Linked DNA regions of Yarrowia lipolytica. The protein of the gene in region 1 binds, or shares a complex with, the protein of each later gene. Links are inferred from orthologs where the notes say so. Each region holds a gene or a part of one and is shown in the gene's direction. Other genes may lie near its edges. The genes, in order: YALI1_C29983g and YALI1_E05972g.

Region 1 (11,647 bases):
CGCTAAGGTGTTTTGGCTATTGGAATGTTTCAGCTGGATCAAGTGATGAGCAAAAATGTAACATATGAATGGAACCAGCGTGGAATGAGACCCGCTGGGTGGAATGAGATCCGCAATTGGAATGAGATCCGTGACTGGATGAGGTCTGGAAATAAAATCCTGAGATCAGACAACCACAGTTTCTTTGTGCGTCCACAGCTTCTGTTGCACATACCAGTATAACGGCCAACCAACTAGCTACTTCAAACGATAATATACGTTGCCAAGAGATGAAGTAGAGCTCTTCCACGCAGACATGGTGTAGTTGGCAATCGTACTTGTACCACTAGAAGCCGTACTCGTACATACCTTGCAAGATACTGCGCATTCTAGCACGTACGTACGACTCGCTGTTGTATAATATACCAAAATAATTAATTAAGATGCAGAAACTCTTGACCGTCGTCGGAAAAAGTCCATGACCTTGCGGGCGGTCGAAGAATGGGTAGACTCGGCGGTGCTCACCTGGGAGGCAGACACCTGTCTGTTTTGACGCTGGTTCATCGAGTGCGACCGGTCTAGCGCAGGAGGCTCTAGTATCTTTCTAGAGGACGTGGATGGTGTGGAGTGAGCCTCGTGAGACTCCACACTTTCCTTTGAGTAGTTTGAAAAGAACGAGAAGCGTTTCTTGGAAGTCGATTCGGCCGTGGGCGCACCGGCACCAGAGGCAGCTGAGCTGGAGCCTCCCTTCGCATCCTTGACAGACTCCTTCGACTCTCTTGGGTCCTTGTCATTGTCCAGGTTGTCGCCAATGATCTTGCCAAAGAGCTTGTCAGCCCCGTAAGAGATGGAGGCGACTCCTCGACGATGTGACCGGGTCTGGGCCTTGGGTGCCTGCATGGACACCGGTCGGGGTCGCGAGAAGTTAGGAGCACCGGGATTAATGGCTCCAGAGGGCGCTGTGGGGATCACTGCAGCAGGCGCAGCAGAAGCAGCGGGAACAACAGGAAGAGGTTTTTCCATGGACGTTCTGGACGTGCTGGTTGTCTTGGACTCAGCTGAAACCGCTCGGGGGGTCGTAGACTTGCCAGGAACCTGTGCAGAGGTGGGGAGGGCTGGAGGGGGCATCAAAGTGGTGTCAGACTGAGCCACAGTGTCGACAACTTCCTTGTCAGTTTCCTTTTTTTCTGCAACCGACTCAACCTCCCCGATAACACCCTCATCTCCACTCTCCATTGAAGCCACAGAATTTCTATTGGACCAGTTGGAGAGCGCCACCTGGCTGGGCGAGTTGCGGAACTGCGGAGACGACAGCTCACCCTGGACCATGGAGTCCGAGTACTTGACCTTGGGCAGTGACGACTGGGGCACCAGAAAGGAGCCGCTCTTGCGTCGTTCATCGAATGAGATCTGCGAGTCGTCCGACGAAGGGCGTCGGAAGAAGGTCGAGCCAGCCGTACTGGGTGTTACCAGCGACAGAGGTACCGGCTGAGCGCTCTGCTGCGACGATGTCGGGGTCACCGAGTTGGCCGAACCAGGCACAGAGGCGTTCTTGTTAACCATGTGCATGTAGGGGAACGAGTCCGGTGGCTGCATGGACGACTGCGTGGGTGTGGGTTGGTAGGATGTGGGTCGGGGTTTTCGTCCAGGAGGCAGACGAGTAGACGATACCAGAGGGGAAGATGGATCTGAAGCAGCAAACGACGAACTAAACGAGGTGCCAAATGACGCTCCAAACGACTGATGTTCAAGCACGGGGGCTGAGGGGGCCGTAGCGGGGGCGCTGGGGATAGTGTCAGCCGCAGAAGCCGGAGGAGTGGCTTCAGGAGCAGTATCGGGGACAGCAGGAAGATCACGTGGTCCGAGATCATCCGCCTCCTTGCCCTTCTCCTTGACCTTTGGACTGCTGGGAGGCGTGGGCTGTTCAGTGATGGTGCCAATGGAAGGCTTGGGCAGATCAAAATCGAATTTGGGCGACGTGGGGGATGCCCCCGGGGGTGATGTGAGTTGCGAAATGCCCGTGTATGTGGCAGATCTGGGGGCTTGTCGGGAATTGGACGTGCTATTGTTGTTGGTATCTTCGGGTATATTGAGTGAGGCCACTGAGGGCGTGGAAGCGTGGGTGGGAGGGTTCGCCGCAGCATGCGACTTGGAGGCAGAAGCAGCAGCAGCTGTGGCAGCACAGGGGCCAGCACTGATGGGTCTTGGGCCTGCAGGTGTGTTTGAGGACACAGTTGCTCCAATGGTAGACTCCCCCTGTCGCTGAATGGGCTTGGAGTACGTTCCACCAACTGAATGTCTATTATTGTACGAAAAGTTGGGAATGTTGACTCCGGAGGGCTTTGTGAGTCGTGAGTCAAAGACTGGAGCACCAGAGGAAAGCTGGACTGAGTGGGATCGAGGCATGTGTGTCTTGACGGGGACAGCCACCTTGCCCACTGCGTCTTCCCATTCCTTAGGAGTGATGGCCAGGAAACGAGAATGGGGAGCCAGCCACGAATGGTACCTGACATCGTTCAACGAGATTCGTTTTCGGGGGTCCGGCACCAAGATGCGTCGTAATAGGTCCCGTGGCAGCGGCGGCACGTACTCGGGGAACGTGAGGGCCGTCGTGGTGATGTACTTGTACAGTTGGGTGATGTTGTCCGAATCCGGGTTGGCCGGGTCATCGTCGTATGGCAGGTAGCCAGAGAGCATGGCGTAGAGAATGACTCCGCAGGACCATACGTCGACCTTGCGGCCTGTGTATTTCTGGTCCGAAACCACTAGTTCTGGAGCAGCATAACAGGGAGAGCCACAGGATGTGGCCATGAGATCGAAAACGTGGCCGTCTGAGCCCCTTGAAAAGGTGTTGGCAAAGCCAAAGTCCGTGATGATGATGTTTTTGTGTTTGTCCAACAGCAGGTTTTCGAGCTTGAGGTCTCTATGGACAATACCCTTGGAGTGGAGGTAGTGGACTCCTGAGACGAGTTGTGCAAATAGGCGGCAGGCTGAGGCCTCCTTGAGGTACTTGTGGGTCAGAATGTGGTCAAACAGCTCGCCGCCAGACGCATACTCCAGCACTATTCCAATATATCTGTCGTTCTGAATGACTTCCTCCAGCCGCACAATGTTGGGGTGGGTGAGGATTTTGAGTGCGTTAATCTCCCGATGCACCTTGGCCTCGCGGTTCGAGTTTGGGGGCACCGTCTCGCGCTTGATGAGCTTGATGGCCACCTGCTCGGGCTGCTTGCCGTCCTTTCTCCAGCCGATTTTCACCTTGCCAAACTCTCCCTCGCCCAGAGTCGACCCCAGAATGTAGTCTCCGAACCGGATTTCTCGCGATTTTTTTTGTCGAGACATGGGCGTGCTGTACCTGTGTGCGATGGCGGATGCGTGGTTGGTTATGATGTTCTTTGGAGGCGATGGTAGCGGAGTTGTTGTGTATCAAGCCGGTCTGCGGGTACAGATCAGGTCTAGCTGTAGAATGGTGGGGTACCAGGGGGTTGTGGGTGTACACAGACGGGGTATGTGTTTGTGTTTGAGTGTGTGTGCGTTGGGGGGGAGGTGAGTATGCTGAAACGAGTCACGAGCCAACCTCACAAAGTAGCGTCCTACGGTTGGAGCTATCACGGAGGACCAGGATGTGTTTAACACTGGCGTTTTGGCAAAGGGGTAGTGCAAAGCTTATTTGGGACGGTGGGAAGTAAACAGACGTCATGTTTGTTTGTGCAGCCCCTATCTATACAGTCTAAAGTCAAACTTGCACACAACAGCGCACAGCGGTATGGCCGCAGTAGGAAGTGATGTGTGTTGGTATTGCTGATGAATTGCAGGGGTTGGTGGATGGATGGAGATGTCGACACCGCAACGGTTCTCATCGTGAGCCCGGCACTGTCCCGCCTCCACAGTCGTTGCTACGCCACGCGTGTCCAATCAAACTCTGTAAACAAACACTTGGGCCTGTATGGGAGTGGACATCACCGTGGCAACCACGTTACACCTTCAGAGCGGAACGTGGAGGGTGACCAAGCCGGCGAGAGCAGTCTGCAACACCACCAGACCCGGTGGTATTAATTTCGATTCTTTAATTTTGCTCTTTTGCACACGATTCAACCTCCATCCTCGTTCTCTCAGTTCCGCTTTTAGTCTCGCCCGTGGCCATGCGTGGTCAATGCGACAGAAACCATATTAGCCAGGGTGAGACATGGTGTGACGGGTGAGTGGGGAGGGTTCTAGCGGGATATTGGCTGGTTGGGGGAGAAAGGGGCCGCTCCCAGGGGCTTTATAAGACGGCCAATGTCCATATTCCGTCTTTAAACCGCTTCTGGCGGCCCCCTAACACCCTCCCAAACACACTGTTATACCTCCCGCCATCCACTATAATTAGATAGGCTTCGGGAGGTGTCTGGCAACAGAGTTTTAGCACTTCGCTCTAGGTTCCAACCCAAACAAAGAGCCCCACGGTAGAACCAAAACCGCCGTCAGGGAGGTTTCAATTGTAGCAAGAAAAGAAAAATTTCGCAGAGACGAAGCTGTTTGGACGTGTCTTGTGTCGCCATCTTCCAGCTGGCTTTTCTACACACCCCCAGCGGCTCCATACCCCTACTTATCGCCGTCGGCCCCCTGCATGGTGAAACAGGGGGTGCATAGCTGCGACTGCCACTCACCGCATTCTCACTCTGTCACCTATTTTTCTTTTTCTTTTTCTTTTTCTTTTTCTTTTCACCTCCGCCACACACGGCCGCAACAAGACGCTCACAACTCCCGAATCTAATGTGTATACTACAAGTACAATCTCATTATGGAACGTAAAACGATATTCGCCAGTGGTAATCTGGAATGCGCTAGGGATACAGGTACACACATTCTGGAGCTTTGTGGAGCTTGTTTGTTGGCGGTGCAAGGCGCAACAGGTAGTCAACGTACTGTACTCTTACTGTACTCGTACCACACTGACACTTATTATGGCCAGTCGTTGGTGATGGCACCTTCGATTGTCTATCGGAGCCGCATAAATCTCCGTCCATCACCACACTGTACAGCTCACCCAGGTACAACTGTTTCAGCAACCAGGAACCCCCTGTTGATCGACGGCCGATGCGTGGATCCTGTCGGGAACACAACCCACAATGAACATCAACACAATGGCGTGCATCACATGATGGCACACACCCCCGATAGACACCAGCGGTGCTTGTTCCTTAGCCCGTCCGCAGCCCAGGCTACTTGTACATTCTGGATACTCCTTACTGTACCTCCTGTCAGGCACCAAACAGGCCTACAGTCAACCTCGAGGATGGAGAGAATCCACACTGCCCATCTGAAACAATCTATGGCTGAGGCTCTAACACCTCCCACAATCAAGACTGTTTAGATCGACAGGGTTCACAAGCCCTCGTCCAGGGTTATAATACCTGAAATACCTCATGTGTTTTGGCTCCTGGGTTGGAACTAAAAACCGGCGCTAACGCAGCCAAGCGGGTGTAATTTACCCCAGACGGCCGACTAATCCAGTCTAGTGACGTCACACACTAATTTCCCAACACGACAGCAATAGACGCTCACTAAAGGGCCGTTTCACCTTGCTAACGTGGTTCTGGATCCTCGTGTAGCGGGGTATCAGAAGAAGGGTCATCACTTGTTGGTCCCTTGTGTGCCAGATGCACTCATGCACAAAATTAGACGAGCATGATACAACCGCCAAAGTACACAACTGGATCAAGACTTGCACCCACCCACTATTATTTCACCGAGGTCTCTCTATCGCCAAAAGTGCAGTAATCTTTGCGCCCATAGAATTATTTCCTCCGATAATTTCCCCTAATAATTTCCCCAAACGCCAATAATTTTGCAAACCATCGACCCTCCCGAGCAATAGATCTGAGACACAAGCCACCTGACGGATCGTGAAGCTGACCAATATTTACGAGTACGATGCACAAGTACGGGTAAAAGAAGGAGAACAGGTCGTGCATCATCATCTGAGCACCCCCTGGCTGACCGTATCCTGCTGAGTCTGGCACATACACAACTCCTTGCTGGGCTTGGTAGAGCTTGCTGAGCCTTGTGGAGTCTGCTGCGGAGTGCTGAGCCTTGCTGGGCGTGTAACCAAGCCATTACCCCTTGCTGAACATCTGTAGCTAAGCCTTGTACTATGATACGAGTCTATTGACAGGGCTTTTACTTCAAGGCTTACTTCTTGGGCTCGAAAAGCCACTTGGAACTGCTTGAAACGCGATGGCTCACCTTTCGGACGCAAATATCAGCCTCCTTCAGCTTGGACAAGAGACGTTGACGGTTGGCTATGAATGGTATGACCATGGGCTAACGGTATCCAGGAAGCATCAGGGAAGACAAGGGCGTGGGGACAAGGTAATCAGGAGTGTACCACGTGATTAACCCGAATAATTGTTGATTATTGCCCTCATTGCTACAAATATTGTCTCTCCTTCATCTCTTCACCTCATCTCTTCACCTCATTCGTTCACTTGATACAGTTTCTGAAATACGACAACCTAAACTCAGCCTTGCATGGAATGCTGAGATGCAGGACAAGCAAGAGAAATGTACGTGAAAATGACAGCAAGCACCACAGACGTGGTGGGGGTCGGAAACGCAAAAAAACAAGACACTCCGATACCGGGAATCGAACCCGGGTTCTCCGCGTGAAAGGCGGAAGTGATAACCCCTACACTATATCGGACAGATTGTGAAAATTGGGTTTTCTCGACCCACAAGAGCGTGGAAAATCCCGTTCTGAATTTTACGCGGGAGGATAATTACTCGGAGGAAAAAATGGGGTTAGAATAAAACGACACGGAGATGGATGACAATGATGTGTGTTAATGATGTGAACTAAAGCGGAATTGAGTGGAATTGAGTGGAAATCAAACTCTCCTCTCTATAGTAAATGCCCTTTCGGTGGGCTCTTCACTTTAGTTAGACTTGGTTGACTCAAGCACAAGTTATTGTTAAGCTTTTACCCAGTAGTGTGTATTTTCCTAAAATCCGTACAACTGCAATCAAATCTGACTGGTTTTTTTTTCTAAATATTCATCAACCCATTCACACTCCTTCTACGACATCTTATATTGGTATATTTCCCCGAATACCGACTTCTCAACACCCTTGTATCCTCCATCAATCTCTACAACTGGCAAACTCTAAACGCCAAATCACTTTTACACGCGTCTCTACATGTCCCATTTTCTCCATCACCACATCAACCCCAAAACATGTCTCTCTGGGTAGATAAACACCGTCCCAAGTCCCTCGATCACGTGGATTACCACCAGGACATCTCCGAGCGGTTTTCCGCGCTTGCCGCGACAGGCGATCTGCCTCATCTTCTCGTCTACGGACCGTCGGGAGCAGGCAAGAAGACCCGAGTCATGGGACTGCTCAAAAAGCTCTACGGCCCCAGCGTGGAGAAAATCAGCACCAAGTCCCACAAGTTCGTGACGCCGTCGAAGCGAGAACTCGAGCTCGGCGTCATTTGCTCGGCTTACCATCTTGAAGTGACGCCGTCCGACATGGGCAACAATGACCGTCTTGTGATCCAGCAATTGCTCAAGGAAACTGCTGAAACTCAGCAGGTCGACCTCAATGCCAAACAACGGTTCAAGGTGGTGATCATCAACGAGGCCGACTCGCTGTCTCGTGACGCCCAGGCTGCCCTCAGACGAACCATGGAAAAATACACAAAGAATATCCGACTGATTCTGCTCACTAACTCCACCTCCAATATCATTGCACCCATCAGGTCGCGAACCCTGCTGGTGCGAGTCGCTGCACCTACCGAGCAGGACATTGTCAACGTACTGGAAAAAGTGGCTGCCAAGGAACATGTGGATCTTGAGAACACCAAAACCCTGGAAAAGATTGCTTCGCATAGCGACCGGAACCTGCGGAAGGCTCTATTGACTCTGGAGACTCTGTACACCTTTGCAGGCTCCAAAACGGTGTCGGAAAACACTCCAATTCCTACTCCTGACTGGGAAATGGTCATTGGCCGTATTGCCCGAGAACTCGTGTCATCTCGAACCCCAGCCACTCTGTTGGCCATCAGATCGCTCTTTTATGAGCTGCTCTCCCATTGCATTCCTCCCTCGACGATTCTCAAGGAGCTCACCTACAGACTGATTCCGGTGGTGCCTGCCAATCTGAGGGTGCCGTTGATTTCTGCCGCAGCCACCTACGAGCATCGGTTGAAGCTGGGTGCGAAGTATATCTTTCATCTGGAGGCGTTTTGCGCAAAGGTGATGGTCTTGTTGGAGGAGTAACCAGTGAAGTGAGTGCAAGTACATGCAAAACAAAAGACACTGGCCAGTGCTATTGCAGTGAAGGAAGGACTAAGGATATATATAGATAATGAAGCATTGATTGAAAGTAGGCGTTGGTCTGATGCAGTGAACAGCATGCAGATATCCTTTGCCCTGCTACTTCAAGTACAGTAGTCCATTCAACGGGTCCATCATCGCCTGTGGCGCCAATGACGCGTTCAACATCGCAGTTTCGTCCCAGAACTGGTTCAGAAAGTGTTCGGAAGCTGAGAAAAGGGAAGCTGAGAAAAGGGATATCCTCGCAGACCCTACCACTCGGAATGGGAGAAACAGAAGGTGTCTGTTTCCTCGCCCAGGATATTGCTAAGCAATTATGAATAGCGAGCTCGTGAGGAAGGGCCATTATCGCAGAAGAAGCCCCTCGTGTCACCAATGAGGGTTGGCGCCGTGCTTCTAGATTCTTTGTACTTGGTGACATCCACGGACTAGAGTCAAGACGCGAGCTACTGGTAGGACAGACGCTGATACTGGCACAACTACAGAAACACTTTGGCGCTTCACCCAGGGTTCGACTGTGGTACAGAAGGCACACACGGCAACCAGCGCAGTTATAAATAAATATATTACAATACAAATAAATAAGTTCTCCATCGTTGCATCACCACTCCAGCCCCTCAGTCCACTCCACTAGCCTCTCACTTGCATCTTCCGCCTTACTCACTGCCTTGACCCGTGAGTAGTAAATAGGACAGTCCTGAGACTCGCACCTAGTCTCAAAGTCGCCTGAGCACTGCGCGCAGATTGTGTTGAGCTCATCCAGCCGCTTCTCCCTGTACCTCAGATCGGAGTTAAGCACGAATGTTGCATGACCAGGATCACTCTCGCACGTGGCGCAAAGTTTAGACAAGCCAGACGTCTGGGCAGTCTTGCAGACGATGCACGAGTTGGACACAGCGTACGACTTGAGCGTGGTTTGGTTGGTCTTTGCTCGAGAAACAGTCTGGTAAAACTCGTACCGCCGCTTCTTGGGCATCTCCTCGTACCACTTGAGAACAGAAGCACCCACACAGTTAAAGAACCGATCCAGAGGGGGAATCAGAGTCTTGTGAATGTAGTAGTCGGCGTCGAGAATGAGAGAGTTGGCGTTCCTGACTAGTTCTTCAGGAGAAACACATCGGTCAATCAGCCGACTTTTGGGAGGACCAGCAACAACCACATATGGGATACGTTCCTTGTACTGGGGTTCAAAGCGCATGTCGACTGCCATTTTCTCAGCCGAGATCTTCGCACCCGCGGGCAACACTCCCCCTTCCTTGTACTGGCCTAACTTGACTTCCTTGGCAAAACAAAAGTCCTGAATCGAGACCTTACCAGTTAGAATCTTCGTCCACTGCTCGTAGAGGTACGATTTGACCAGAGATAAATCAGCAGTGTCAAACAAGATACGAAGAGCCTTCTCCTCAATCTTCTGGGCAGCAGGGGTGCCGTCTCGTCGCACAGTTTCGATTCCCTTGGCGTCGAAAATGGGATACATCTGCTTCGAGTACTCCCACTTGTAGCCCACGTATCGCTTCTTGGATATGAGCATGCAAGGAAGATAGACCTTTTCAAACTGCAATTTCATGGGTGCTGGATTGGCAGATGTTATGGTATCAGCGATCTCAGTACCAATCTTGAATGCTTCATCCTTGGTACGACCAGGTAGACATACAAACAACGAGTCTGTATCGCCGTAGACGACCTTGGCTGCCCATTTGTCCGATCCATGGATCACGTCAATGCACTTTTCGAGCGTCTCACGTCCACTTTGAACTATTGCGTCAGCGATTTCGGCACAGGGCATACGTCCAGAGAAGGAGGCAGAAGTGTATCCATATGTGACGTTGGCCACGAGCTTCAGAGCAAGCTGTCGGTTATGGTTGAGTCTCTGGAACGACACATTGTCTCTATCGAGCTTGGCAGTATCCTTGACCATGAATCTGGTCTCCAGAATCTCACCCAGCATTCGAGCTAACAGAGAAACTCGAATATGGGGTTTCACAAACACCAGGCCATTTGGAGAGATGGTCACATCGTCTTTAGTCAGCAACCGTTTTACCAAAGACGGCTTGTAGAACAGTTTCTCCGTTCCCAAAGTGTTTCCGTCCTTTTCAAAATCAGTCCATTTGCCCAAACAGGTGGAGTAGCAGTAATTGTGGGCTAAGATGACGGAAGGATAAAGAGACTGAAAGTCCAGAACAAGAACGGGGCTCGTATAAAGTCGAGATTCGGGCTCCATTACCAAAGCAATGCACTCCAGGGCATTCTGCTGACCAACCTGTTCTCTACTGGGGCTTGCCAGCATGAAGTTCTCACTTTTTGTCAGGCGAGCAAGAAACGACTCGACTTTGTACTGACTGCCGCGGGTGTAGACGGACGAAAAGTCGATTCCCACCACTCGAGCCTGCTCAGCTGTTCGTGAAACAATCTCCAGAGTGCTCAAGAGCTGCAGATTGTAATTGGACCGCGTGCATTTGTACTCCACAAGTAATTTCCGGTCAGACAGACTGCCCACACACATTTCTGTGAGCGTATCGTGTGTGTAGAAGGGAATGCGTTCGTGTAGAACGTGGAAGACGACATTCTCAAGCGTGTATTTCAACAAAGAAACCTCCCCACGAATCATACGCCACAAGTTGAGCACATGACGGCCAACTACTTTGACTCCAGAAGCCTTTCGTGCGCCCCAAGTGTCAATTTTCGAGCTCATCTTATGATGCTGAACCCTTCCAAATTCACATGGGTACAACATGGTCTTGCAACGGTCTTGAACATAGCCCCAGGAAGAAGCTTGGACTTCAAAGCCAGTCAGAATGTCAGGATCAAAGTTCTCCACCATTTTCTGAAGATGAGTGATCATTTCACACTCTGTTTTGACGACAGTGGAAGGTGCTTCGATGATGTTTGTGAAGTCTGGGCAATCCTCGGCGTTGATAATCACTCCACTGGGACCACCCAACATGTGCCAGACAACGAACAGGATTGGGTCAAGATCTGGGTCTGGATTGAGACCTTTTCGAGTGTTCACATGAACCTCCATGCTCATGACCGTTAAAGCAGCCGACTCGTGTCGCTGGGAGAGTGTGTTTTGACTGGGGAAAGAGTACTTGGGCTTCTGGGTAGGAGGCGCTATCTGGGACAGAAACAGATCAGCATTGTTGGTAGTCTTTCCTATCCACTTGAGTACGTCATCACGCGATGGAGGAGACTTTGCCAGCTCAACAACGCCCTTAAGAGCATAGTTTGAGGGCTTTTCGGGGAATCCCGTTGGTAGATACTTTACGGAAGACCCCAGAATTCGAAAAGTGACGCCTCCGTGTGTCATTGTTTTTGTGGGGACGTCTGAATCACGTGAGTAGTGCGGC
Region 2 (11,168 bases), on another chromosome or scaffold:
AAGATATTTTCGAGCACCAGATTTTTTCAGGCTTTGCAGATGAGCTGCAGGGTTAGGTTATTGTGCTGATAGAGGAATCGCGAAGACTGCGGATGTAGGACTTATTCAAGGAAAGCAGATTGTAAATGGTAACTATTTGACAATAGCATTGGACAACTGTATCATTTTCAATTCCTCTGATATTGTGATGATCTGGCTACACTATCTATAAATTTTGCCTCACAAAATTAGAGTTCACTATTAAGAAATTTATGTGGACCTCGACATCCCACTATGAACAATTACTGTGTATACAAGTTTTCAAGTCGTTCGACTTCAGTACATGTACGGGTCTTGACTGATTCCCGCCGTTCCAGTATTCTACCTCGAATTCGTCTTTGTCGTATAAAATATCTCTCGTGGCTCGTCCAAATGATGAAGTACGTGCTTAATAATCTCGCTACCTTCATGAATTACTGCAACAGTACAGTACAAGTACAAGTACTGTACTGTACTTGTATTGTATTATGTAATCCCGATTTTTCTGAATGGTCCTGCTCATTGTTTCCAGCCCCACTTTCATTGCCACTATTCTCAGCCCCTTATAGTACACTCTCACATTCGTACAAACCGGTACATACTCTACCAGACTTTGTATGTACGAATACAGTAGTACCTTGCACTTGTATGTATGTGTTCTCGTACTCGTATCGTAGGTCATGTGACATTCTCTGTGTGTGTGTCTTACTACATGCTATTACCCCCTCTCTACCGTACATGGCCCACCCACATATCTCCGTATAACAGGACAACGGACCGTGAAGCACCTGACACAGCTCATATGACACAGCTCATATCCCAGAAGAGGACTCCGTCCACAGGGTCATCGTGGGCATCGGCCCCCTTGTGGTTTCTTTGTCCTTCTTACAGTAGTGCCAATAATATCCCTACACATGTAACCTTGGTCTTCACGTTAGTGGTATGAAAGAATGAAAGCAAAAGCTGGGGAAATGTGGTAAAAAAATACTAGAACGAGTGACCTGTTTTTGGTGCTTGTAGAGTCGAAAATATTATACTTATCTTAATAGTCACGTTACGCGCGGCCGGCACACGTATCATATCTCCGTACATCTTTGTACATCTCTCAAGCGGGTACACTTTATCACGTACCAAGGTCATGCGGAAGGATGGTCACACAGCAAGAGGTAAATCTCAATGCAGAACCGTGAGTGCTAAAAAATACTACCACAACAAAACAAGAGCGCGAACGCATGGTGCAGAAGTGACAGTTTTGCTTTTCTCCGACAAGCACGATTTTCTTCTTGTGCAGGTACCTACACCTTCTCTCTTTTGCTATAAATGGCTTGATTGCGCTATTCTCATCCTTACACACACACACACACACACACACACACACACACATACACACATACCGACGATGTTGCTACAAGCGTTTGTTTCTGTTTTAGCACTTCCAGGGTCTCTAGCGCTTCCGCTATTCGATCAGAAGCCTCTGTTGCTGGCACCATACGCGAGACCAAACGTGACACTCATTGACGCCCAGAAATTCGAGTTGTGGCTCGCTCAGCAGACTCATCACGCCTTTGAGTCTGTCCTCGACAATGTGGGACACCAAGGTAGCAACAACGGTCTTCCCGTAGGCGTTGTTATCGCTAGTCCCTCTAAAACGGCCCCTGACTACTATTACCAATGGACTCGGGATGCTGCCATCACCATGGACTCAGTTGTGCGGCGGTTCTATGACCAGGCTAGTCAAGGTATACTGAACGACACACTCAGCAACATCATCATGGGATACATTGAGACTCAAGGCATGTTGCAGCACGTCAGCAATCCCTCCGGGTACTTTGACTGGAACAGACGTGTTGTTAGTGGTTTGGGAGAGCCTAAATTTGAGACTGACGGCTCAGCATTCACAGGGCACTGGGGTAGACCTCAGAATGATGGACCTGCACTCAGAATTAAAACGATCTCGCATTATATTCAAACCCAGGTGGAGTGGAATGAAACAGCTTCTCTCGACGACTATGTGTATATCTACAAGTCTATGATCCTACCCGATGTCGAGTACATTCTACAGTATTGGGATCAGCCGACTTTTGATCTCTGGGAGGAACTGGAGGGCTACCATCTCTTCACTTCTCAAGTGCAGTTCAACGCTCTCATTAACGTCGTGGAACTTGCAAGACATTACTCAGATCGAGAGACCGAAAGCAGATGTACATTCACTGCTGGATCGATTCGACAATTCATCAAGACACATTTCGAGGCTGGTTCTCGGCTGAATGCACAATTTGAGCCCAGAAGTTTTGGAAGGTCGGGCCTTGATTCCTCCATATTCTTGGCCGCTCTTGACTCGGTTAGATGGGAGTCTAGCATAGCTGCAGGTACATCTCTCAAGCCCTACGACGATCTTCTCATTGCTACTATCATGCCTTATGTGCACTCCTTCGACTACCCTATTAATCATCAACGATTAGCTGAGTTCGAGGAGTCTTTCCAGGATGAAAATCCTGGGTACGTCGCCGTTGGTGTTGGTCGTTATGCTGAGGACGTCTACGATGGAGTGGGAACCTCTCATGGCAATCCTTGGTTCATCTGTACCGCTACCATTGCAGAGACCATATTCTTCATTGCTCACCACTTGGCCCAGCAGTCGTCTGATTTTGTTCTTGAGATCAATAGTCTCACCAAGGAGTTTTATGGTACGTTTGTGTCTTCTGACCGCATTGCTAGAGACTCCGAAGAGTATCAGCATCTGTTGGACCGTCTCGTTGACCTCGGTGACTCGTTCTTGGATGTCATCAGAGAGCATCAGGCTAACAATGGAGATATGTCGGAGCAATTCAATAGATACGATGGGTTCATGCAAGGAGCTGAGAAGCTGACATGGAGCTACGGCAGTTTCTGGTCTGCTGTTAGAGCTCGCCAGGAAGTTATCAAAGGGACCAGTGGGAGGAAATGAATTGTTAACAGCGGGGGCTGTCTCATTGCTACAATGGTAGCCGGTGGACATTACGAGTCCGCCTAAGAGAAGATGTGACTAGACGATGATATTTATTTATTAAATGCACAAATGAATGAGACTGCAATGCACAAGTACCACCTTGTGTATCAAATTCATGTGTTTATCGTCATTACTACAAGTAGGCGGTTGCAGAGAAACCTCATGTATTATCAGCACTGTAGTATACTCGTACAAATAATTCGTCGTCTAGACTCGTTACTCATTACTACGCTATATACAATTAATCCTCAAAGTCCTTCTTTCCAACGGGCACTTCCAGTCCGACTCTTCGGGCAGAAAGTCGCACTCTCTCCTGATCGGCCATATCCACTCCAGGGTTGTATCGGGCCAGCAGGTCCTTGTAAACTCGCTGGTTCTCCAGAAACAGCAGCATGTCCTCGGCGTGCTGGATCTGTTCGGCCTCTCCGGTTCCGTTTGTGAAGTACTCTCTGAGAGCAGTACTGTTGTAATGTGAAGTTCGGGGTGTGGGCAGCTTCTCAATGGCCTTGGGTGTAGTTTTCTTCTGGATCGCCTCGTACTTCGCCTTGGCTTCGTTTCGCTGGTTCTCACCGTTGATGTGGACGGTCATTGCAGCGACATACTGCTTTGACAGCTCTCGATAGAGCGATCTGTAAAGGTTTAGGGACTTCGACATATTGTTGATGCCGTTGATCTGATCAGGATCACGATTTTGATAGTGCTACTTGTAGTTTGATTCTGCCCTGATATCGCGAGTTCAATTTGGGCTGTTGTACCCGTGGTTTTTGTTTAAGGTTTGGATTCTGTGTGCGCGTTCGATTCTCATCTGCGTCATCGACACTTAGAATTGTGGAAATGTGCTAACCATATCCGCTAGCGCAGACGTTGTTCCCAAGATCAAAGCTAGTTCACCGGCTCCCCAAACTCCCACTAATATCCATTATCCGGGTCGCTCCGGATCGTGTTTCGGTGCAAGGTTTTTCCTACTTTTGGCCAATGGGCACTGCACACACGCAGACTTCGAAGTCAAAGAAGAAGTCAAAGCTGGATGGGAGCAAAGAGAGGAGCCAAGGGTGCAAGTATGACGAGACAAAAGAACGCGGTTATTGGAGCAACCGTGAGTATGAGACACCGTTGGACGTCTCAATTGGCATCGTTAGTCAATTTGAACGTTCCGGTCGACCTCCACCGATTATTTCGACACCCCTTAAGCCCCCATTCATATCCCCCCTGCTCGGAGCTAAGCGGATAAAAGCCTCTATGGTCGGGTACCCGGACGGATGTTGTTTTTCCGATTTGCATGGAGATATGTGGGAGAAACGTGTACATGTAAATGAATGTAACAATGTAAATTTTTTGGCGGAGTATGGTGCAGCTGACAGGGTACAGATGGAGCCGCAGGAAAAAGTTTTCCAAGTAGTATATGGCCTAGGAATATCGAATGGCTCGCCACGAGCCCAGTGTGACGTGCCAGACACTCTTTTTAATGCCCCTGGCGCAGCTCTCTTCTTCAAGCTTGTCTCCTTCGAAATAGAGGTTTCGCTCTGACGCCGTGTTTAAACCTCGCCGTCCTTAATTTCGTAAAAGCTTTTTTTGCATCCTCCCACATAAAACTCTCTCTCTCTCTCTTCTTTAACTAGGACACCTTTTGGCAACATCTTGTCGTCTAATCGAAAACATATCCACATCCACAATGCTTCGAACCGCCTACCTGGCTAAGGTGAGTACTCCGGGCGAGTCAATGGAGGTGACTCAAGGTGCAATGGAAGCACCGCTCCATGGCACAGCGATGCGCGCTACATGACCGACGACATCTGTGTACAACCCATAACATTTTCTCGGAAACAACAACAGCATCACAGACAGAGACTCGGGGCAGGGGAAGACGCCATTGAGACCAATGGCTAGTGTATGTCGCAACTCCGGCGCCGATTGCTCCACAGTCTCCTACTTTGGTCCTGTCCACGTCACCACCACCCCCGGAACATCTATGCGTGTATTTATTTTCCCTCCACTATTTTTTTTCCTGCATGTGCTACGGAGAAAAATAGTAGCGGGCAGTAGCACACTGTGTGGGGACAGGGGAATGGAGAACAATTGAGGCGATGCGGATACGAAGACACCTGTTTACGTTGTTGTCGCACGCCGCTGCTGTTGCTGGTGTGTTTTGTGTTAATTGCCGCACACCACAATAACTATCATCGACACCAAAACATTAGGATAACATACTAACCCAGGCCGCCTCGGCTCTCCCCAAGCGAACCCTCGCTACCAACGCTCGAACCATGTTCCAGCCCAAGGAGTACGGATCCAAGTACACCGTCACCCTCATCCCCGGTGATGGTATCGGTAACGAGATTACTGACGCTGTCAAGACCATCTTCAAGACTATCTCCGTCCCCATTGACTGGGAGGTTGTCAATGTCACCGGTGTTGGCGAGAACCATCTCGACGGCTACGAGGAGGCCATTCGATCCATCAACCGAAACAAGGTTGCCATCAAGGGTATCCTCCACACCCCCGTTGAGAAGCACGGTCACACTTCTTTCAACGTTGCCCTGCGACGAGAGCTCGACATTTTTGCTTCTCTCGTTCTCATCAAGAACATCCCCGGTGTCCAGACCCGACTCGACGGCATTGACATGGCTCTGATCCGAGAGAACACTGAGGGTGAGTACTCCGGTCTGGAGCACTCCCCTGTCCCCGGTGTTGTTGAGTCCATCAAGGTCATCACCAAGCGAAAGTCCGAGCGAATTGCCCGATTTGCCTTTGACTTTGCTCTCAAGAACAACCGACACAAGGTCACTGCCATCCACAAGGCCAACATTATGAAGCTTGCCGATGGTCTGTTCCGAAACACCTGTAAGGAGGTCTCCGCCGAGTACCCCGAGATCCAGTACGGCGACATGATTGTCGACAACGCCTCCATGCAGGCCGTCTCTTGGCCCCAGCAGTTTGACGTTCTCGTCACCCCTAACCTTTACGGAACCATTCTGTCTAACATTGGTGCCGGTCTTGTTGGAGGCCCCGGTCTCGTCCCTGGTGTCAACCTGGGTACCGAGCACGCCGTTTTCGAGCCCGGTTGCCGACACGTCGGTCTTGACATTAAGGGCCGAGGTACCGCTAACCCCACCGCCATGATTCTGTCTTCCGCCATGCTTCTGCGACACCTCAACCTCGATGACTTCGCTGACGTCATCTCCAAGGCTACCTACGACGTTCTTGCTGAGGGCCAGGTCCGAACCCCCGATCTTGGCGGCAACTCCACTACTGACGAGTTCACCATGGCTGTTATCAACAAGCTCCAGTAATTATGTATGATTTAGATGATATTATGACATTGAACGAATTATTGATGAGTAGTGGGTGTGATGGATTTAGTGTGGATGTACACGGTTCTTGTAATAATGTGCCATGCTGTATAACAATCGCCTTTCCGCAGCTGTATCTATGGGTATGATTAACTCTGATGATCCGGAGATAAACTAATCTTAACCACTGTACGATACATATACTGTAAGATGGCACCCTGTGGTTTAACCCTTGTAGCAATGTGTTTAAGCAAGGGAATATTGTGATAGAGAAGTGTATTTGAAGTATGTGGCTGGTACGGTACTTGTACGAGTGTGTTTGTGTATTCTAAAGATGGACATTCCACATATTCGCTGGTCAAGGTGTTTTGTTTGAGGATTCAGTGAGGCATATTTCTTCACTGGGTGTGATGGAGTTGGGTAAGGTTATAGGTTTTTACCAGAACTTGTACTTGTAGAAATACTGAACAACTATATCACCGTGATAAAGAGTGCATAAGAAGGTGCGTTGAACATGATGTTTCGGCGCGCAAAATCGAGAATTTCAAGTTTTTTGGTCGGTACTTGCGATAAGATGAGTCCAACTAAAATGTTAGATTTTCAATACCGCTCAAATTGCGTGTTTATGAGACTTCTTGAAGCCGTGATTCTCCCAGCTTCTCCGAACTCTACAAGGTTCATACCGAGATTTGGTGATGAGTGGCAATAGGAGTGCAGCGGTTCATTGAGGGCGAAATATCAGAAGAATGAGAAGATGTAGTTATTTCAACAGTGCACAATGATATTATATGCTCACGGGACTCTGAAAAGCCTTTGAACGCCATATTTCAGCCCAATCACACTCGCCCCTCTCTGGAAAATAAACTCGACACGTGATACCCTTTTCCACCTGGGAGTGAAAAGTATTCGTTGTTGCTCAAGACAATCACACACATCAGTCACCCAAATCACAACACAAGATGGATCAATTGAACAACCGAGAACAGCAGGAGTTCCAGCAGCTCGTCGAGCAGAAGCAGATGAAGGATTTCATGCGAGTGAGTATTCCAAATTTCTTGATGACAACCACGACAACAGAACAGAACACAACACCACACCACACATACTAACCCAGCTCTACTCCTCTCTCGTCCAGCGATGCTTCACTGACTGTGTCAACGACTTCACCTCCAAGGCTCTGTCTTCCCGAGAAGAGTCTTGTCTCGAGAAGTGCTCCGAGAAGTTCCTCAAGCACTCTGAACGAGTCGGCCAGAGATTCCAGGAACAGAACGCTGCTCTTATGCAGAAGAGATAAAATGTACATATTAATTGATCCCTGTTCGAGTTACTAGATGAGGCGGTGCAACCCCAATGATTGTGTTTGATGTTGCCCTTGTTGTACTTTGATATTGTATTTATTCTGCATCACTATCATCATCTGCCCGGAGTCTGATCATACTGGACTGTGCCACTCATAGCTGCACCACTTTAGTTGCAACTGCAAACATGGTGTTATACATTTGTAATCATTATCAATCGTAATTATGTTCTACTCCCCACCTGCTCCCCGAAACAAGGTCAAGAGAGCATCAGTCTCCTGCTGCATCTCTCGAGCCCACAGGTTTACATCAGAGTCCCAAGGGTTGTACATGATGGCGTTGGCAAACATCTTGGCGACCTCACGTTCAAGCTCAGAAGTGGATGAAATACGTCCGTCCTTGACCTGGGCCTTGATGGTCCGGATGTCCGTCGGCGAAAAGATCAACTCGTAGTAGTTGGGCGCACTGTTGGGATTGACAGGGTGTGTGAAGAAAGACGCAGATTTGTTGGATGAGATGTTCGAGAGCAGATTGCCAGCCACGTTCTGAAACTTGCGGTTGGCCGAAGGGGCAGCAGAGGTGTTTCGGCGCGACCGCTTTCGCGAATCAGAGTCTTCAGTGGTAGATCGTGCTCGCTTTCGAGTCCGTTCCTCGGATCCAGGAGTAGCTCCTGCCTCTGGAGTTTCCGTCACCCGGTCTAATTCGCTCTCATCGGGTTCTTCTGTCTCTCCACGGTCGGTCTCCACGTCGGCAGTCGTTTCCTTGTCGGACCCCGACTCCTCAGCCTCCCTCGCGTCCGACTCGACATCTGCCTCTGCACCATCAGCCTGCTCCTCTTCATCCTTGTAATTCTGCTCTTCAGCCTCAGCCTCAGCCTCAGCCTCAGCCTCAGCCTCAGCCTCAGCCTCTACTGTCTTCTTTTCGGTCTCGACCTCAGTGTCCTTTTCTTCCTCCTTGACCTTTACTGACTCCACATCAGCCTCTGTAGTCTCAACTTCAGCCTGCTCCTTCTTACTGCTGTTTTCGTTCTCCTTCAATTCCTCCACAGCGTCAGTCATCTCTACGTCCTCGTCGTCAGATTTCGTCATTGATTGCTGAGCTTTTGAGGCCTCTTCCTGCTCTTTGCTAGCTTCTAGTGCCTCCCGTCTGGCCTGTTGTTCTTTTTCCTGTTGTTCCTTTTGTAGTCTCTCCTTCTCTAGTCTTTCCTTCTCTAATCGCTCAGTTTCGGCCTTAATCTTTTTATCCCGCTCCATCTCCTTCAGATGCTTGAATTTCACCTCGTCGGCTTTCAGACCAGCCACCGTCTCGTTGTACAAAACATGTCTGAATCCATCCACCAACTTGGCCAAACTGCTCAGAGCGAGTTCCTTTTCTGCAATTTTCGTCGATGAGATCATCTGACGCCACCACTTTTGACAATGGGCGGCAGTTAGCGAGGAAGGGCCTCCTGTCATGCTGAGAATGTCGGGTTGAATCAATGGGTGTTTGGGAACTTGTGTTGCCATGTACTCGGCGATAGGTTGGGGGATATCTGGTAACACGACTACCGATTTGACGCTGTTGTCGATCGCGTACTTGTAGAGAGTCTGTGCGTATATCAGGTTGGCCAGAGACGTCATTATGATGGCTGGGTTGAGGTGGATAATGACTGTTTTGGTGGAGATGATATTTATCCCACGTAGAGTTGCGCTGGGACATGCATATTCAGAGGTTCGAAAAAGTAGACGAGGTTGAGAGCCACTAAAGGGGTGATACAATGAGATTCTGAAGCAAAAATTCACTCGGTATATAGTAAACAGTCTTATACAAAGATTACGCTTACACCCATCTCGTCAGCCACTCCCTTTATTCACCTAACCATCTCTCTCTACCTTTTTTAGAGCTCTTCTCCCTTCTCCACACCCAAACTCAAATGCGCGTCTACAGTGCGTGCTAAATTAAGAGATCCACTCACTGTGTACTTGACAACCATTGACATGAACGTGACCAACATATTTCTGGACCACTTACGACAAAACGACCATGTGGAATCCGTGCCTCAGATGATCCAGACCCCATCGGGAATGGCCATTGTGGAAATCCAGGGAGAAGTGGTCAGTAAGGCACATTTGCAGGAGGGATCAAGACGCGTTGGATCCATTGAATTTGAAGAGAAAAAAGCCACTCTGGTGATTGACGGGAAACAGCGAATGCGAGGATCGATAAAGAAGCTCGACAAGCCTCTGGGGCTGCTCAAAATGGACCCCGAAAACCGGCATCAGGTAGATCTCATTGAGATTGTCACCCACAAGGTCTCCTTCACAGACATTCCCGAGCCTGTTGGAGCGGAGGAGTAGAACCCATACACTGTCGAGTTATGAAAGGTCTGCTCGGCTGTAAAGAAAGGATGTGCTCTACTACAGCACATACGCCCCAGTTGCCAGCATTCAGTGCATTAAAGAATGCTCGACAAGATACACCAACAGTCTCTTCTTGACTCACTGTGAACCGCCTCAAAAAAAACAGCATCAAATCAACATATTTATAGGTAATAAAAATGCATTGTAACGACATGGCTGTAAGTATTAAAATAATTGATTGGAATCCGATTCTTGTATTTGCTTATGACTACTGGCGGCTATTGAAGGCACAACAGCACTCTTTAAAACACCCTCATGATGCGAATGCGCACGGAAACGATCTTTTACGCTCCTCCAGTCTTCAAGAAGTGATTCCTGGAGCTACATTGTTCGAAATCCTCGCCTATGACCCATATGACCTTCGGTTAGCTACACAAGTCTTTTTTTCCCGTTGTCACTATCAAAAGCCTAATTGCATGCATCTCACGATAACCACAGTGGTGCCTCGACAAGCAGTGATTGACATTCTTCTCAACCACCAACATGCACTCTCACCACTCGCACTCGGGACAGTACGTCCAACACGCTAAGGATAGTCTTGAAGAATGTGTCCAGGCAGCCAAGGACAAGAAATTCGACGTTTTCTGTCTCACAGAACATATGCCTCGATCCAGGGAGACCGATCTGTATCCTGAGGAGATTGAGTCCAAAACTACTCCTGTTGATCTCGCTAAGGTCTTTGACGATTATGTGAAACATGCTCGACAGCTACAGAAGGATAACACTTCCAACACAGAGATTCTGGTGGGCTTTGAGTGTGAGTCTATCCGAGCCGAGTGCTGGGATCGAGCGGTTGAGCTCAAGAAGCACTATGGTCTTGACCTGTGTGTTGGATCTGTGCACCACGTCAACGGCATTCCTATTGATTTCAGCCAGGGCCAATGGTGCGATGCTTCTGACTCTGTGTCCGATATGATTGACGACCAGACTACTCCTGAACATGCTCTCTACAAAAAGTACTACGAGATCCAATGGAACATGCTACAGAAACTTAAGCCCGAGGTGGTTGCTCATTTTGATCTCATTCGACTGTACTCCACCATTAGAGAAGGCTTTGGAGCCACCGAGAACTACGTGCGAGAGAACTGGCCAGATGTTTGGGACCAGATCATCAAGAACATCGATTTCATCATCTCCTATGGAGGTTTCATTGAGGTGTCTTCTGCTCCTCTTC

The links.
Region 2: YALI1_C29983g (region 1) and YALI1_E05972g share a complex: the UniProt entries of both Saccharomyces cerevisiae proteins name them as parts of the CTF18-RFC complex. The link is inferred for Yarrowia lipolytica from reciprocal best matches to the Saccharomyces cerevisiae genes RFC5 and CTF8.

What each region holds. Positions count from the first base shown.
Region 1 is NC_090772.1:2,993,897-3,005,543, reverse strand, and holds YALI1_C29983g (uncharacterized protein), read left to right. Parts: upstream 1-7,196; coding exon 7,197-8,243; downstream 8,244-11,647. Other genes in the region: YALI1_C30052g (uncharacterized protein), read right to left, coding at 17-201, 249-297; YALI1_C30022g (uncharacterized protein), read right to left, coding at 418-3,321; YALI1_C30007g (uncharacterized protein), read left to right, coding at 4,763-5,335; YALI1_C29968g (uncharacterized protein), read right to left, coding at 8,293-8,721; YALI1_C29926g (uncharacterized protein), read right to left, coding at 8,902-11,647. UniProt on the Saccharomyces cerevisiae protein: Component of ATP-dependent clamp loader (RFC and RFC-like) complexes for DNA clamps, such as the POL30/PCNA homotrimer and the checkpoint clamp DDC1:MEC3:RAD17 complex.
Region 2 is NC_090774.1:595,644-606,811, reverse strand, and holds YALI1_E05972g (uncharacterized protein), read left to right. Parts: upstream 1-9,571; coding exon 9,572-9,931; downstream 9,932-11,168. Other genes in the region: YALI1_E06065g (uncharacterized protein), read left to right, coding at 274-783; YALI1_E06056g (uncharacterized protein), read left to right, coding at 1,157-2,965; YALI1_E06031g (uncharacterized protein), read right to left, coding at 3,249-3,662; YALI1_E06028g (uncharacterized protein), read left to right, coding at 3,983-4,534; YALI1_E06015g (uncharacterized protein), read left to right, coding at 4,680-4,706, 5,224-6,297; YALI1_E05994g (uncharacterized protein), read left to right, coding at 7,257-7,334, 7,412-7,591; YALI1_E05975g (uncharacterized protein), read right to left, coding at 7,826-9,214; YALI1_E05963g (uncharacterized protein), read left to right, coding at 10,478-11,168. UniProt on the Saccharomyces cerevisiae protein: Essential for the fidelity of chromosome transmission. Required for the DNA replication block checkpoint.